Linked DNA regions of Arabidopsis thaliana. The protein of the gene in region 1 purifies or fractionates together with the protein of each later gene. This does not show direct contact. Each region holds a gene or a part of one and is shown on either strand. Other genes may lie near its edges.

Region 1 (6,219 bases):
AGCTACAAACAAAATGGGGTAGAGGTGAATGTAGGCTGGATATTGCGAGATGAAGAAGGTTACTACAATGAAGCTTCCCACAACAAAGCTCAGACGTGCAGTACAATTCTAGAAGCTGAATTACAAGCATTACTCATGGCGATGCAACACATGTGGATAAAAGGGCACCGGAAAATAATATTTGAAAGCGATAACAGTCAAATCCCAAAACTTCTCAAAAGTGAAATAAACAACTTCGGTCTTCATAATCTTATACAGGAAATAAGAGTATGGCAACAGAAGTACACGAGCGTGAAGATACAATGGACTGCGAGATCAAGCAATAAGGCAACGGATTGTCTAGCGAGAACTCGGAGACCCAATGATCTTTCATTTGTCAATTACTTCCATGTACCAAACTTTCTTGTAGACATCCTTCACGAGGATTACACTTCATCTATCTAATAAAAGAAGTTGCTGTTAAAAAAAAAAAGTTAGAGATAGGTAAAGTGAATTTCATATTTTTTGGATAGTATTTTTGAATTGCTTCATTTTCGAGATTAACAAGCTTCTTCTTTTTTTAACAACCCCAGAGTTTCATCAACTTTCAAGCAACAGAAACACATGATTAAAAAATTAATAACATCAAATAAAGCATATTTTAAAAATTAAACTTTTCATCATATAGATTCTTAGAATGTGATTGTGGAGCCACGTTGGATCTCCAGGGTTAGATATAAATGAAACTGTCTATGCCGTGTGACAGCCCTTGCAACTATTCAATTCAAAGTTGACCATACATGAAACTATTTCAAGCAAACGACGCCCAACATCAAGTATTCAAGTTGTTGATATTGTCTAAAAGATTCACCATATATAAAAGCCAACTTCATGGAATCGAAATTGTAGCGGTACAACAGTTACTAGATCACCACTTTATGACAAGCACACTCTTGACATATTAATCAAACTTGGCCAAGATGATCCCGAGCTAACCACACACCACCCACACATCTAATATTTGACTGTTCATGCCACACTTATATTGACCTTGAGAAAAATGAAGAGTATATCGACTCGGTTAACAAAACTTCAACAAGACAATTTCTTATAAAAAAATAATCATAGACTGATAAATTTCTCAAAACACTTTTCAATTTAAACAATTTCATAATATGTGTATGTTGACATTTCTAATACATGAATAGATTGATGCTCATTGAACTTTATTGAAATGTAAAGAAGAGATAAATGTGAAAGATTTTATGTTGTCTTCAAGAACAAAATAAGTTTCAATTATGTTTTATAAAATGTTGAATGTGGCTGTTCAAAAAAGTAGCCTTGATTACATTAATCAAAGTCTTACACAATATAACATAAGCTTACACGGACTTCTCTAATGAATAATGATTATAACTTGGGTTTAGGATCCTCTTTTCCACCTAGAGGCTTTTATATTGTTCTACAATTTAATTTTTTTTAAAAAAAAAAAAAACAGGAGCAAAATAAGATAGTGTGTATGTAACATAATTTATTGTTGTTGTAAGACATTACAAATAAAAAAAATATGATTGCATTGAAGAAAACAATATCAAATGACAAATACATAGAAACAAAATAATAATTAAGTAAGGCACCGAGAGTAGAAATTAAAAAAAGCTTATAAAACAAAGGAATCTCGGTCACCTCTCACCAACTCCAATGCTCACTTATACAGAAGCTGAGAAGCAGAACCGCTTTTATATAATCGCACTCACTCAGAGAAACAGAGAAGACGATAGATAGAGAAAAAAAAAAAATGGCGTTGGCTCTTCGTAGACTCTCCTCTTCCGTTAAGAAACCGATCTCGCTTCTCTCCTCTAATGGCGGTTCACTCCGTTTCATGGTAAAATCCTATCACAGTCAGATTCATTCACGTTTTATCCTTCGTTTGATTCTGATCCGTTTTTGACTCTTATACACAGTCGTCTTTATCAACCGCAGCTATGGCGGAATCGGAGAAATCTCGTTCTAGTGTAAGCTCATCAATTAGATCAGATGCGTCATAATATATAATCTAACGAATGGCTTATTTCGATTTAAACTTTTCTGTTTCTTTATCAGTGGATTAAGCAATTGAATGCATCTCTAGATGAAATCGATCCTGAAGTTGCGGATATTATCGAATTAGAGAAGGCTAGACAATGGAAGGTATCAACAAAATTTAGTGAGAATGATCAAATTCACATATATAGAAGCTTTGATTTATTGATTTGGGGGATGATGTTACGAGTTTTTTCAGGGATTTGAACTTATACCGTCAGAGAATTTCACTTCTCTATCTGTGATGCAAGCCGTTGGTTCTGTTATGACTAATAAGTATAGTGAAGGATACCCTGGAGCTAGATACTATGGAGGAAATGAGTATGTATTTGTTATACTTACAATGGTTTACTTTGTTGTTAGTATATGATGCTTAAGGTTGTTTGCATCTTATTGACTAGGTACATTGACATGGCTGAGACATTATGTCAAAAACGCGCATTAGAAGCTTTTCAGTTAGATCCTTCTAAATGGGGAGGTGTGCTAATTACATACTTTCGTTGTGAATTGTGATTAAAGAAATCCTACTAGAAACCAAATTTACTAATGGAGACACTTGTTCATTTTGTAGTCAATGTGCAGTCTTTATCAGGATCACCAGCTAATTTCCAAGTTTACACTGCATTGTTGAAGCCTCATGAAAGAATCATGGCACTTGATTTACCTCATGGTGGACATCTTTCTCATGGTTATCAGGTACTTGGGTTCTAGTCTCTCTAGCTTGGTCAGTCAGTATTTGACTTTCTTTTCTCATCTCTTTGTGGAATTGATATTGTATCTTTTCCTCATTTCTTTTATTTGCTCTTGTGCAGACTGACACGAAGAAAATATCGGCTGTATCCATCTTTTTTGAGACAATGCCATACAGATTGGATGAGAACACTGGTTACATTGATTATGACCAGGTTGGTTAGTTCATAGCCAGCTTAGCTTAATGCTTCAACATTCTATCTTTATCCAATATACCATTGAGATATGGGTTTAATACATACAAGCTTTTCGTTTACGGTTCTTATGTTAAGTAATTGAACAGTTTTTAAACCAAAGTTTATTTATTTGTGATACAATAATTTGCAGCTAGAAAAGAGTGCCGTGCTTTTCAGACCGAAACTTATTGTTGCGGGTGCAAGTGCTTATGCTCGTCTATATGACTATGCACGTATTCGTAAGGTAAAGTATTGTCTCAACTCTTGAGTGTGAAGTTTAGTTACAAAAGTTGCAGTTTTCAAGGTTATGCATAAAAAATTGCAGGTCTGTAACAAGCAAAAGGCAGTTATGTTGGCTGATATGGCTCATATTAGTGGGTTGGTTGCTGCTGGCGTTATTCCTTCTCCTTTTGAGTATGCAGATGTTGTTACGACTACAACTCACAAATCGCTTCGCGGTCCTAGAGGGGCTATGATATTCTTTAGGAAGGGGTTAAAAGAGATTAACAAACAAGGGAAAGAGGTGAATTTTTCGTTTCTATATTGTATATGAATGAGTAAATAACTTCCAGTTACTGACTAATTTTATGTCGTTTGTAACTTTACCTGATAGGTCATGTATGACTATGAGGACAGAATTAATCAAGCTGTTTTTCCTGGACTGCAAGGTGGTCCACATAATCACACTATAACGGGTCTAGCAGTTGCTCTGAAGCAGGTTCAGTCATCAAACTTTTATTGAAACTGTGTTCCATTGTCTAATGTGTTCGCATGATCTCCTTTCACTTTCTGATTAAGGTCTACTCTAGGATTCTCTTGGTCTTGTAACTCTTGTTCATGATCTTTTGACTTATCGATTTGTTCTATTATAGGCAAGAACTCCTGAGTACAAGGCCTACCAGGATCAAGTTCTCCGTAATTGCTCAAAGTTTGCTGAGGTGCGTTGTGTTTGCTGATTGTCGTATTTTTACTTGAGTAATTAGTTGATATGCCTTAGATATCTTGTCATGTTTGGAACAGTTGGATATAAGACCTACTGTAATCATCTCATATGGCTTGTCAATGCAGACTTTGCTTGCGAAAGGATATGATTTAGTGTCTGGAGGCACTGATAATCATTTAGTTTTGGTGAATCTGAAAAACAAGGTACTTCTCATTCTATCTTTAATTGCTCAAACCCTTTGATATCTAGATGGAAATGTTTGCTTTAAATGTACGAGTTTGCATATGAAAGGACTGAATCTCATCGGTATTAGAGAATCTTAACTCTTGAAATATGATAAAACTAAAAACAATGATGATTTTTTTCCCATATATGTTGTGTGGTTTCAATTTTTACTAACGACATACTGACCAGATGGAGCTAATCAAGTGTAAAATGTTTAATTTTTGTACTGTTAACCTTAGTAGGAAGTGCTTAGAATAGCTAATTTACTCTTGTAAAATATTTGATGTTGGAAAATGGGTTTTGCAGGGAATAGATGGATCAAGAGTGGAAAAAGTATTAGAATTAGTACATATTGCAGCAAACAAGAATACTGTTCCTGGTGATGTTTCTGCCATGGTTCCCGGTGGCATCCGTATGGGTAAGGCTCTTATAAAAACTCTGAAAGAAGTAATGTGTTAGTATGTCGAAAGAGTAGTAAACATTCATACGTCTGCTATTTACCACCATTAATGTTATTTTTGAACAAAAAAGAACACTGAAACAAGTAAAGTGTTAGTATGTCGAAAAGTGCTAAATGTTCATGCTTCTTGCAATCTACTACTTATGAAAAAGGACTTCTATGCTAATTCATAGAGACCTGTTGATCACCAAGAAAATCGTGTATGTTCCGATTTGTTCTTATGATGGATGATGGTATGGTTACAGGAACACCAGCCCTCACATCAAGAGGATTCATTGAGGAAGATTTTGCAAAAGTGGCGGAGTATTTTGATTTAGCCGTCAAGATAGCCTTAAAGATCAAAGCAGAGTCTCAAGGTATATATAAAAAGTCTTTTGGTTCGGTTTACTTTTTCTGTGTCATGCTTGGGATTGTATTGATGTATCTATAATGTACTGCAGGAACAAAGTTGAAAGACTTTGTAGCAACAATGCAATCAAATGAGAAATTACAGTCAGAGATGTCAAAGCTCCGTGAGATGGTAGAAGAATATGCTAAGCAATTCCCAACGATTGGGTTCGAGAAAGAGACGATGAGATACAAAGAGTAGTTTTCATCGTGTGGATTGACACGTTTCCACATCTCTGAGATGCTTTAGGTACCTAAAACACTTAATTATACATAAGCTTCTTCTATGAAATATTTTGGAGGGACTCATTATGGGGCGATTGTGCAACCGTTTGCAGTGATCATGGACCAGAGGCGCAACCGATGGTCTGAAGTATCGCTGAAACTAAAGTTGAACTAAAAAAATCGCACTCCAATGTTGTCTCTTACCCTTTCCTTTTGTCTCTCAAATTTTATCTTTGCTTCCTTAAGTTGGTTCCTCAAAATTCAAAATTTGTAATGCAACTGGTTTAAGGTTGCTATGATGGATAATGGCAACTAAAGTTATAGGATAAACGATGCAGCTTTGATAATTGATATTGTAAACAGAAGTGTTTCTGAAATAAGATGTCTCGTGCTTTTTCACATAAACAATGCTACTTTGTAATTAAGCATGCTTCAAGAATGGCCTAAATGTGAAATTTGAGGTACAATAAAGAAAAAAACTGTCCAAAGTTCAATAAAACAAATTAGAGGTTTTTGTTGTCGTTTTTTGAAAAGATTGAGGTTTGTTTTACAGTTTTTCGAGGTTAAACTCGCATTTGTATTGTTCTCATTAAAAAACGACTATTAATATTATTTTATTTTAAAAAAAATTTAACTTGCTTTAAAATACTTCAACAAAAAAAAAACATATGTTTTTTTTAGAGCTAACCAACCTCAAGTTTGATTTTTTCATTCTGTTGCGAATAGAGACATACAGTTCAACTGTGAATAGAGTACGGTGCGGTTCAAATAAGAACAAAAATATATACATACACATATATGTAGAGATTTTAGTTACTATTGAAACCGCAACGCATTGTTTGGTTCACCGCACCGGACTGCGGAATTTGTGATTTGTTCGGAAAAAATTACGGCTTGTCGTTTTTTCAAATGATTGAGGTTTGGTGTACAATATTTTTATTCAAGGTTAATCTTGCTTTTCTTTTTGTAATTTGGTGATTTCTTTGCATTTT
Region 2 (5,622 bases), on another chromosome or scaffold:
TGAAATCTAATCAGAGAAAATACCCCAAGGATAAACCATGCAGCTGCCTGAAGAGTGAAAAAAGGAGAAGATTTAGCTGTGAAGACAACAGAAAAAGACAGCAAACAAATCCACATGTTTTTAATGTTTACTACGCTCCAGTACCATAGACATCAAATCCATAGCTACCATCTCATGGCTACATCTCACTCTTTATAGTCGCTTGTAAGGTAACTGAGCATATAAGTTTGTAAGCTACCAAGTTTTAACTAATATTATACTTAGTCAGTGTAAGATCATAGGATATACTCCAAATGGCCGACTTGGTTCCAGCAGATAATCTTTCCCTACTCAACATATATTGTAATGTGACTTCGCATGTGATTTGACTCCAATGTCAAATGCTATATCCCACTCATGCAGAGGGAAAAACCATTTGTCGCAAACTTCTTTAACTGGTAGCTTCTTGGGGGAAGATATTCAGGTGTCTAGCGATCTATATATGGGTCTACATGGGATTCTAAAAGACTGCTCTCAATTCTTATCTACCACCTTTGCACAATATGCTTCAATATAAGGGACATGTTTATTCTTGCCTATTCTTATTCCACTATAAGGGACATGTTTATCCTTGCCTATTCTTATTCCTAGTCATCCACTAAAGTTCCACAATGATTGTGAATGGGTTTTAAGTAATTAGCTTATGCTGCAACTGAAGTGTTAGATATGAAATACTTACTGCAAGGTAAAGTGTCCACCAGAAAAGCCATGAGTCTTTCTTGTTCATCCGAGCCAAAGACTGTATAGAAAAATGATGAAAACACATGAGTATACAAAAAAAAAACGGAAAGGGAAACACAACCCCACATTTCTCGACAGGCTGAACCCATATCCTTGTGAATAAGTGAAGAAAAGCTAACCTCCTGATCAAGAGACTCGAATTTCCAGACACTTTCTCCCAAGTCATTGATCTCGTTCCACCACCTGAGACCAACCAGTATACGCCCACTGACATTCTTAACCACCCAGAAGTCAAGAGCAGCAAGAAGAACAGTGACTACAAAGATGATGACAAAGCTGTTGAAGAAGAGAGCAGAGAGAATGTAAAACGCCAACGCAGCACCCTGGTCCAAGAACAAATACAAACTGGTTTAACATTTGTCCAATGTCTAACATTTCCTTTGACTAAACTGATTTATACTCTAAATCATACCTTGAAGAGAACATGGAAAAGACATGTCCTTGGGTTTGCATAATTTTCAACTGGTGCCTGTATCTAAGAAAGCATAAAGTTTTGGTAAGATTAGCTGTAGCAATTTTACATTGTAATAACCATTACGATGCTACCCAAAAGAGTACATAAAGATTATTATCCGCCAACACATCCTCTAACCTAGCAATGTTTATTTAGCTCAAATGCATAATTTCTACGGATTATCGGAGACCAAAACGTCGAAACACAGATCTGACACAATAACATCTAGATCGAACAACTAGATACAGGTTAATCAAGAATCTGATATGCAATCGAACTCAGAAATTAAGTCAGAACAAAATGAGAGGAAGCAGCTGAAAATTCACCTGATTATTAGGGTCCATCTTTCGAAGAATCCAAAAGGATCAATCCGAGAAAAAGAAGAAGTAATCTGCTGATCAGCAGAAACGAAACACCTTCTCCGTTGTGGAAAGTATCGATCTTCCCTCTGAATTTTCCCGAGAAAAAATTTCTGTATCAGATCTTCAAAACTCTTGCGCGTGTCTGCTACGTGATTTCTTCTATTTTTGATAATTTCTTTCAAATGTGTTTTTTAATTCTCAACGAGCCCGATAACTCTTCTCTGGCCCAATAATATTTAAAGAAGTTAGGCCCAATTATTCAAAAAAAATGGTAATTACGATTTCACCACAAAAACTTGTGTTTCGATCAAAATTATCCACTATCCACAACAAGGCAAAAGAAGAGTTAAGAAAGAAGAGGACGACAATGGCTGTAAATATGTGACCATGAAATGGCGAGAGGCTGAGATAATTGTCTTATCCCTTCAAAATTTAAGACTTTTAATGATCGGAAGGAACAAGATGACGAGGTCCCACGAACCACCATACACACTTCAATTTCAAATAAGAGCTTTTCTTCAGTTGTTGCTCAGAGACTTAACCAATCAACCATGGCGAAGATGATGATGTTGCAACAGCATCAGCCTTCTTTCTCTCTCCTTACTTCTTCTCTGTCTGACTTCAATGGCGCTAAGCTCCATTTACAAGTCCAGGTCTTTTTCATCCTTCGTTCTGACGACTATCATTATCAATTTTATCAGATGGGTTCTGCTTTTGTGTGTCTGATGAGCCAAAATCCGTTCAGCACATTTCAAAACTATTCCTTTTAAAATGGGTTTAAGCTTGTTTGTTCGACTTCTTGAGCTATGGATCATTGTGTCTATATTAATGAATGTGTGTCTAAAGTCTTAGTGTGGTTCTTGTTTCAGCTCTGATTTTGTATTATGAGTAAAGAGTTTTATGAGCTTCTTCGTCATAATTGTGAGAGTTTCTGGTTTGTGGTTTGGCTCTGGTTTGAGTTGTCTGAATACCCCCCTCATTTGTGTCAAGTATGATTTGTTTCTGTGACGCTCTGCCTTCAGATTCTATCACTAGTCTTAGAATTGAAACTACAGTTTGTATTTTGGGGATAAGATTTTTCTTATAGAGTTGGCTTTGTTGTTAAAATTGCAGTACAAGAGGAAGGTTCATCAGCCAAAAGGAGCACTCTATGTTTCAGCGTCGAGCGAAAAGAAGATTCTGATAATGGGTGGTACTCGATTCATTGGTCTGTTCTTGTCCAGGATCCTTGTCAAAGAGGGACATCAGGTTCCACTACCGATCAAACTCTCTTTTCAGCTAAAAATTTAGTTTCCGTTTCTGAGTGACCAATGGTTGCTTTTGCAGGTTACATTGTTCACAAGGGGTAAATCTCCTATTGCCAAACAATTGCCCGGTGAATCTGACCAAGACTTTGCTGATTTCTCTTCTAAGGTATTACATGAATCCTTGTAAAAAACTAGTATGCACACTCAAATATAATATACATTTCAGATGATAGGAACTTGGATGATTAGGATTCCAATAAAATAAATGATTTTTCTCGGCCTTTTCTAGATTCTTCACTTGAAAGGAGACAGAAAGGACTATGACTTTGTGAAGTCAAGTCTTTCAGCAGAAGGCTTCGATGTTGTTTATGATATCAACGGTAACAGCTAATCACTTTGTTCTTACTGTAAATTCAAGAATATCTAGTCTTTTGCCTTTGACAACAAAGATTTTAAGATTTCGTATAATTTATGCTCTCTTTTTTTCTCAGGGAGGGAGGCCGAAGAAGTTGAGCCCATACTAGAAGCACTACCCAAACTAGAGCAGTAAGTAATACATAACATCTATCAAGGCCTAGCTTGTTCATTTGGTTTATAGCTTTCAAAACATAGCCCTTCAAAATTTAAATCTTCCGTTAATGTTATAGGTACATCTACTGTTCTTCAGCTGGTGTTTATCTGAAATCTGATATCTTGCCACATTGTGAGGTATGTAAAAGATATCTTATTCTTATTCCTGGAAGATATGAGCTTGTACTTTTCTTGAATTAGCCATAGAATAGTATGATTATGTAATTTGATCATATGATGTCACCCAGAAGTTTATTATCTAAGGCCATTTGTAATAACTTTTTATTTGGGACATAACTGATGCAGGAGGATGCAGTTGATCCGAAGAGCAGGCACAAGGGGAAGCTGGAGACTGAGAGCTTACTGCAATCAAAAGGTGTAAACTGGACTTCTATACGTCCTGTCTACATCTACGGTCCATTGAATTACAACCCCGTCGAAGAATGGTTTTTCCACCGTCTAAAGGCAGGTCGCCCAATCCCGGTTCCAAACTCTGGGATACAGATCTCACAACTCGGTCACGTTAAGGTCAGTCACACTTTCTCTAATTCTTGAGCTTCCTTTCATGTTCAGAAAACTCATTGTTATAGGGACCCACTGACTGAAACTCAGCTCTGATCAATCTTGAAGAGTATTGATCAATAACATCAAATCATTCTGTAATTTCAGGACTTGGCAACAGCCTTTCTCAACGTGCTTGGTAACGAGAAAGCCAGCAGAGAGATATTCAACATCTCGGGGGAGAAATATGTTACCTTTGATGGGTTAGCAAAAGCTTGCGCAAAGGTACATTCTTTTCTATTGGCTTTATTGTTGTCTCATCAATCCAAATCGTTTCAAGTACATCCTGGTGTGGTCCGTTTGTAATAGATATCATACTCTGAGCTTTTTGGATCATTGCTTGAGTAAACTTATTCATGTTTTCAACTCTCTCTCAGGCCGGTGGGTTTCCGGAGCCAGAGATTGTTCATTACAACCCGAAAGAGTTCGACTTTGGGAAGAAGAAGGCATTCCCTTTCCGTGATCAGGTAAAAACCACAACGTTCTAATGATCGAGGCTGCAACATGAACGATTCCAATTTAGAAGTTGAGATTTTGATATATGTATATTCTCTTGCAGCATTTCTTTGCATCGGTGGAGAAAGCAAAGCATGTCCTCGGATGGAAACCGGAGTTCGACTTAGTGGAGGGTCTCACTGACTCATACAACCTTGATTTCGGTCGCGGAACATTCCGGAAAGAAGCGGATTTCACCACTGACGACATGATTCTGAGCAAGAAACTTGTTCTTCAATAATCGAAATCCTAAGAGTTGCTCATTCTTGGCTTGTATGATTCTGATCACCCGGTTCTCTTAAAGTTCTGAACTTTATTGTCATCTCACGTATGTTATGGTCCGGATTTTGTTCGACTTTTCTCTAAAGAAGTCAAGCTAGGGACGATGAAGAAACCGAGAAAGTAAGTACACGAGAAAGAGACGGTCTGGCTCTTGACTTAGGAACTTAGGAATTTTGGTATCAATTCGATATCCTCTTTCTAAATCTGAACCGAACCAAAATTACAACCATACCGACTACCGAGCTAATTAAACTTTAGTTTTAAATGCGGGCCCCTTTGTATCATATAGCCCATTAACCGATCGAACCGAACCAAAAAATCGAATTCGCACGACTAAATACAGATTTGACCCGTGCTTGGTTATGCCCGCTACATACCGGTCAAATAAAAACTCATTTGGGCTCCAATATTTAAATTTAGAAGCCCAACTCGTAATTGAAAAGTCCAACTTGTGAATATTATTAGTTTTTTTTTTTTTTTTTCATCAAATATTAATAGTTTATAGAGACATATTTCATTGGTTGTAATTTACTTATCTTTTGGCCTATTTTTAGTGAAAAAAATGATTAGTTGATTTTTTAAACGTCTGAAACTTGTATTAGTGATTAATTGAAAATAAAAGAAAAGAAATGTAAATTCTATTACTCTATTGGTTATCTAAATGTAAATGAGTCATTCTCCGGAATTTTGTTTTATGTTTTTTTTCTCTCGACTCTTGTTGGATCATTTAGTTCTCACTGCAAGTCTTAATCTTGTGGATAGAAGAATCTTACAAAATTCTTGTGAAATTTAGATTCCAAAGAATATACTACGAAAAAAGATTTAGTCTTCTTCCTATTTTTTGTTTGGTCAGGATTACTTAAAGTCGTAG
Region 3 (5,225 bases), on another chromosome or scaffold:
ACAAATTCCTTTGTATACTACTTATTTTCAAATAAAATCACGTTATTTTTGTAATGGTGTTTCACGATTTCTTTACATATGGTAATGGTAATGTTAAACAAGAATAAATATATTTTTAACTCGGATTCGGTTGTAAATCTGTTTTGGTACTCTCCAGTGGCTTCAATAGGCAATGAAGCAGAAGAGTTGTGTCTATGCATGTTCTTGACGTTAGCTTGTAGCTATCCTGAAAAATAAGTATCCGGTGACTGCTGTAGCACTTCCAAGCATTCCACCAGCAACGACCTGAATTCTCAGCAAATGGAAAACAGAATCTGATGAGAACTAGAAATTCATTGATATCAACACGGTTACAAATCAAAGAGTAGTTCATTTATCAACCAAAGTAAACACAAACTAGGGTCTGTTCTAGAGTTCCATCAGCTCACACAAGCCTCCAAAAGACCCTCAACTCTGTTCCCAATTACACGATCCCCCTCACCGATTCCTTCAGCACTCTATTTGTACTCATGATTTCCCCTAACTCTGTAACTATCTTGCTAAATGTAACAGCTAAAAGAATCTCATATCTTGCTAGTCATATATGAAAAGACTTTTTCAAGTCATATGTCTACATACCTGGGGAGGGGTATGACCAAGAAGTTCCCGCAAAGGTCTGCTTTCAGCCAGCGGATGTTCTGCAGGAAGTTCATATACAATCTGATTGAGAACCTGAAAAATGAATCAGACCCCAGAGATCAGGATACCAGAGCTCAAATGCATCATGACAAAACCAATAGTGGTTCTTTTATCAAACCAGTCAAGTTAGAAGATGAAACAAAGGAAAGGTTAGAGCAGCAATGAACAAACCTCAGCTTGACGACCAGCATGTAATCTAACACCGGTAGCATCATACATCACCTACCAACCCAAACCACTCACATATTAATCGTCACTTGATTCCTTAATAGCCAATTTGATTAAACTAGAGAAAGTATCCAACTTACAACAGATGCCAAAATCAAAGCAATGGCAAAATGTGATCCACCAAAGCCTTCTTGTAAACCAATAGCTACAGCGAGAGCTGTAACGGTCGCTGAATGCGAAGAAGGCATTCCTCCAGACCCAATAAGCTGTTTGAGATCCCATCTCCGTTCCCTATACCTACAGAATCTAGGAAACCATGTAAAGATCCTTTCTCATCTAACGTATACTATAATTTCCTATGTACCGTTTCGAACCAAAGATTGAGGAACCAGGCACATATAGATTTAATCGGAGTCTGATCCAAACAGAGATATAAAGAGAGAACGTACCAGGAGGTGAAGAGTTTGATGAATTGAGCGATAGTGAAAGAGGTGACGGCGGAAATGAGAGGATAATTCGTGAAAATGGAGAAATAATGAGTGGAAGACGAAGACGTAGCCGTGGCTGTAGAATCCTCCATGGCCGATGATGGATCTAGTCAGGCTTTAAATCGTGCTAGCGAAAGAAGAAGAAGAAAATGACACCGAAACGACAATGATCCATAAAACGTCGACTAATTCCCTTTCAAACTCCAATGGCGTCTACGTCTACCGTTCAATCCTCTTTGTCTTTCTTTTTTTTTCTTTGACCAATTTTTTTTTTAAACACTGCTCCACAAAACTATATATTATACAATTACCCGCATCCGAACAAATATGAACCGTATCCGATACAAAACCCGAATACCTAGGTCAGTTCTATTCGTGAAATCGAGTCTCCTCTTATTCGACGACCTGCCCCAACTATAAACATGACTTTTACACACTTGACATAACTTCGTTTGTATCGCTTTTTTGAAATTCTATATATTATTATTGTTTGAGCAGAAACTAAGACAAAATTAAGACTTTTCTCTCTTCTTCTTCTCCACTGGGTCGATCTTTACGAGGTTCACTTGTACGGATTCACTTTAACAACAGATTCGCCATGGCCGCCGCCGTCGCAGCACCGAGACTCATCTCCTTGAAAGCCGTCGCGAAGCTAGGTTTCCGTGAGATCTCTCAAATCCGACAATTGGCTCCGCTTCACTCTGCGATACCTCATTTCGGAATGCTGCGATGTAGATCGCGGCAGCCGTTTTCTACCTCTGGTATATTCATTCCTCTTCTCTCTTCCTTTGCGGTTTTGGCATAGATTTGATCTCTCTCAATTCTCAACATTTTTGTGGTATTACAGTTGTGAAAGCTCAAGCTACTGCTACTGAGCAATCACCAGGGGAAGTTGTTCAAAAAGTGGAATCTCCAGTGGTCGTTATCACTGGTGCCTCGAGAGGGATTGGTAAAGCAATTGCTCTAGCCTTGGGTAAAGCTGGCTGCAAGGTTAGGCTTAACACTATTCGGAATATTGGAGCGCCTTGTTGTTAGATTTGATCTGTATATGTACTCTTCGAGCATTCAATTTGCATGATATTACTAGTCTTGAGTTATGAAGATTTTAACACAGGATTGCTTTCAATTTCTTTTGTCATTATAGTGATGGAGACATCAATAGGTTTATATCCGTAATTGCTACACATAAATTTTCTGATCTGGAAGCAAACACTCTGTTTCTGTTGCAGGTCTTGGTGAATTATGCTAGGTCAGCAAAAGAGGCTGAAGAAGTTGCTAAACAGGTGATTCATTGCCCTGGATTAGACTGCAATTTACATGATTCATGCACCAAGTATCTAGAATGGTTTTCAGCTCTTTCCTTCTTTTTCTGCTTCGGGATATCGGTTTAGACCAAATAATGCATAGGTGTTTGGTATGGAAGGATGTTGTTGTTGGTACGAAAATAAATGTGGTACCTTTCGAGTTTAACGTTGATAATACCTTTAAACAGTTTTGGTTTCTGGGACAAGAAATGTAGACAAATGAATTTTCTGGACCTGGAAAATGTTTCTTATTGCCCTATGCTTCTCAAATGCGTTTTGTGATTTTGCTCTTGATCCACACTGCCAAATGAAATATTATCTTTTGGCTAACAAATGTCATCTGCAGTTAATAGTGTTTTCGTTTACAATGTCAACTTATTTCATGTAATCTCTGACATTTCTTCTCTGTGCAACTGTAGATTGAAGAATATGGTGGCCAGGCTATCACTTTTGGGGGTGATGTCTCGAAAGCGACTGATGTGGATGCGATGATGAAAACCGTGAGTGATCAACTGTACACCATCTTATATTCCCTAATCCTTATACATCTTTTCATTTTCCTTTTGTTATTTTTCTGCAGGCTCTTGACAAATGGGGAACCATTGATGTTGTGGTTAACAATGCAGGTAAATGAAAACCTTGGTTCCCATTAAGTTTTACTTAGTACCTTACTGACGTGGCTACATATTTTCAGGAATTACTCGGGATACCTTGTTAATACGAATGAAGCAATCACAATGGGACGAAGTGATTGCTTTGAATCTCACTGGTGTATTTCTCTGTACTCAGGTTTGTATTCCTGCAATACTGCTAAAATTTTGATACTCGGATTTTCAGGGACTGATACTCGTTTACTCTCTTTAGGCAGCAGTAAAGATCATGATGAAGAAAAAAAGGGTAACACTTTTTACTTGTCATATGCCATGTCACCGTCTATATCCTCACACGTTTGTCATTGGTTTTGACATGTTACTCCTTCCCTGAAGCATAGGGAGAAATGATATATAAAAAGACAACTACGTTTTTTTTTTTTTGAGCTCTTCTATAAGATTAAGAAGTGATATTATGACAAGCATAATTCATGGTATACTTAATTGCAGGGAAGAATCATCAATATCTCGTCAGTTGTTGGTCTCATTGGTAATATTGGTCAAGCAAACTACGCAGCGGCTAAAGGTGGAGTTATTTCGTTTTCCAAGACTGCTGCCAGAGAAGGTGCGAGCAGGAATATAAATGTATGTGACCTATCTCCCTCATCATATTCGTCTTTTTTTTAAACTTCCTGGACATGATTGTGAAACTTGTTCCGTCTACAATTTGCTCTATTCCAGGTCAATGTGGTTTGCCCCGGATTCATTGCATCTGACATGACTGCAGAGCTTGGAGAAGACATGGAAAAGAAAATCCTGGGAACAATCCCATTAGGTAATGGACATTTCATCTCTTACATTTGTTGCTGGGTAATTTATATGGATAGGATGTATCTGAGACATGAAAAAATTGTTAGATAAAAAAGAATTCTGATACAAAGCAAAACGGTTTGGTTTTCAGGACGGTATGGAAAAGCTGAAGAAGTGGCTGGCTTGGTAGAATTCTTGGCTCTCAGTCCTGCAGCCAGTTACATAACCGGACAGGTTAATATCTCATACTCCTGTCGAATGGTGGTTAACCTTGGTTTCTAATTATGTTAGCGACCTAACCATGGTTGAAAATATTGGTTTGCAGGCATTCACCATTGATGGAGGTATTGCTATCTAGACATTTGGTATGAGTCGGCTTTTGTTTAGTTAAAACAATTTGGTAAAAGAGACAAAGTTGAGTTCTTTTTAGCACTTGGTCGGATTGCTATTTTGCGGTTTCTGTTAAGAAATATGTAACACTTACTGCTTAAACTACGTATTTGGTCACTTTCAGAAACTAGAAATCGATTAATCCAATCTCGCATTCTAAATTTTTTTAGTTATTGATGAAAAGGAAACTAGAACATCTCACTATCCTTACCCTATGTTAAACTATTCAAGCACAAACAAAATTCAAACGCAACTTAGAGTCAAAAAGTAAAATAAAACATTACAGACGCACCAAATAACTTATTGGTTTGATTTGTACGATCTAATCCGCATATGAATGCGGATATTGCCTAGTGACAAGCCAACCCCACTGTATTTCTATGCCTTAAACAGCCTAGGACTAGGAAACAGCTGCCGTTTGAGACATAGGCAAAGCAAAAGTGGGTCACTCTTTTGGCAATCTTAGAGTCTTGCCCACAAGACTGAAGCATCCCCGCTGCTCATCGAAGGCTCTTCTGACTATAGCTACGCGATCAACATCCTTACCAACTCGAGCCTCGCACGAGTCCTTGTACTGTATGTAGACAATTGCAAAATATGTGCGGTTGAATACCAAATCCACATCTTGGGGAGTAGTATCTATAGCCACTTGGATAATCTTCAAGTTGGACAGGTCATCAAGATCCCTAATGGTGCCCCTATTAGTGGTGGCAACTGCAAGTTCCAAGTAGAGACGAATCCAGTCATTGTCTTCTTGCAGCTCATAATAATTCAACTGCAAAAAAAAAGAAAAAGCT

What was found. The genes of interacting proteins can lie anywhere in the genome.
Region 2: the proteins of SHM2 (region 1) and CRB fractionate together in Arabidopsis thaliana (co-fractionation; one large-scale study listed by BioGRID). This does not show direct contact.
Region 3: the proteins of SHM2 (region 1) and AT1G24360 fractionate together in Arabidopsis thaliana (co-fractionation; one large-scale study listed by BioGRID). This does not show direct contact.

What each region holds. Positions count from the first base shown.
Region 1 is NC_003076.8:9,416,522-9,422,740, forward strand, and holds SHM2 (serine hydroxymethyltransferase 2), read left to right. Parts: upstream 1-1,673; 5' UTR 1,674-1,777; coding exon 1,778-1,864; intron 1,865-1,943; coding exon 1,944-1,994; intron 1,995-2,082; coding exon 2,083-2,169; intron 2,170-2,260; coding exon 2,261-2,382; intron 2,383-2,462; coding exon 2,463-2,539; intron 2,540-2,632; coding exon 2,633-2,757; intron 2,758-2,873; coding exon 2,874-2,966; intron 2,967-3,138; coding exon 3,139-3,231; intron 3,232-3,312; coding exon 3,313-3,510; intron 3,511-3,600; coding exon 3,601-3,705; intron 3,706-3,859; coding exon 3,860-3,925; intron 3,926-4,007; coding exon 4,008-4,133; intron 4,134-4,461; coding exon 4,462-4,573; intron 4,574-4,860; coding exon 4,861-4,971; intron 4,972-5,055; coding exon 5,056-5,204; 3' UTR 5,205-5,252; exon of another isoform or gene 5,253-5,340; 3' UTR 5,341-5,630; downstream 5,631-6,219. UniProt on the Arabidopsis thaliana protein: Functions outside the photorespiratory pathway in catalyzing the interconversion of serine and glycine with the conversion of tetrahydrofolate (THF) into 5,10-methylene-THF.
Region 2 is NC_003070.9:3,013,326-3,018,947, forward strand, and holds CRB (chloroplast RNA binding protein), read left to right. Parts: upstream 1-1,911; 5' UTR 1,912-2,147; coding exon of another isoform or gene 2,148-2,249; 5' UTR 2,250-2,480; coding exon 2,481-2,585; intron 2,586-2,709; coding exon 2,710-2,844; intron 2,845-2,922; coding exon 2,923-3,009; intron 3,010-3,132; coding exon 3,133-3,223; intron 3,224-3,334; coding exon 3,335-3,389; intron 3,390-3,490; coding exon 3,491-3,551; intron 3,552-3,719; coding exon 3,720-3,941; intron 3,942-4,082; coding exon 4,083-4,199; intron 4,200-4,351; coding exon 4,352-4,441; intron 4,442-4,533; coding exon 4,534-4,710; 3' UTR 4,711-5,013; downstream 5,014-5,622. Other genes in the region: AT1G09330 (golgi apparatus membrane protein-like protein ECHIDNA protein), read right to left, coding at 1-47, 719-778, 900-1,103, 1,193-1,255, 1,561-1,578. UniProt on the Arabidopsis thaliana protein: Binds and cleaves RNA, particularly in stem-loops. Associates with pre-ribosomal particles in chloroplasts, and participates in chloroplast ribosomal RNA metabolism, probably during the final steps of 23S rRNA maturation.
Region 3 is NC_003070.9:8,638,888-8,644,112, forward strand, and holds AT1G24360 (NAD(P)-binding Rossmann-fold superfamily protein), read left to right. Parts: upstream 1-1,694; 5' UTR 1,695-1,932; coding exon 1,933-2,095; intron 2,096-2,181; coding exon 2,182-2,324; intron 2,325-2,563; coding exon 2,564-2,617; intron 2,618-3,057; coding exon 3,058-3,138; intron 3,139-3,218; coding exon 3,219-3,264; intron 3,265-3,332; coding exon 3,333-3,427; intron 3,428-3,502; coding exon 3,503-3,535; intron 3,536-3,738; coding exon 3,739-3,873; intron 3,874-3,969; coding exon 3,970-4,063; intron 4,064-4,189; coding exon 4,190-4,272; intron 4,273-4,363; coding exon 4,364-4,396; 3' UTR 4,397-4,616; downstream 4,617-5,225. Other genes in the region: AT1G24350 (Acid phosphatase/vanadium-dependent haloperoxidase-related protein), read right to left, coding at 211-285, 482-535, 619-711, 850-900, 987-1,143, 1,296-1,426.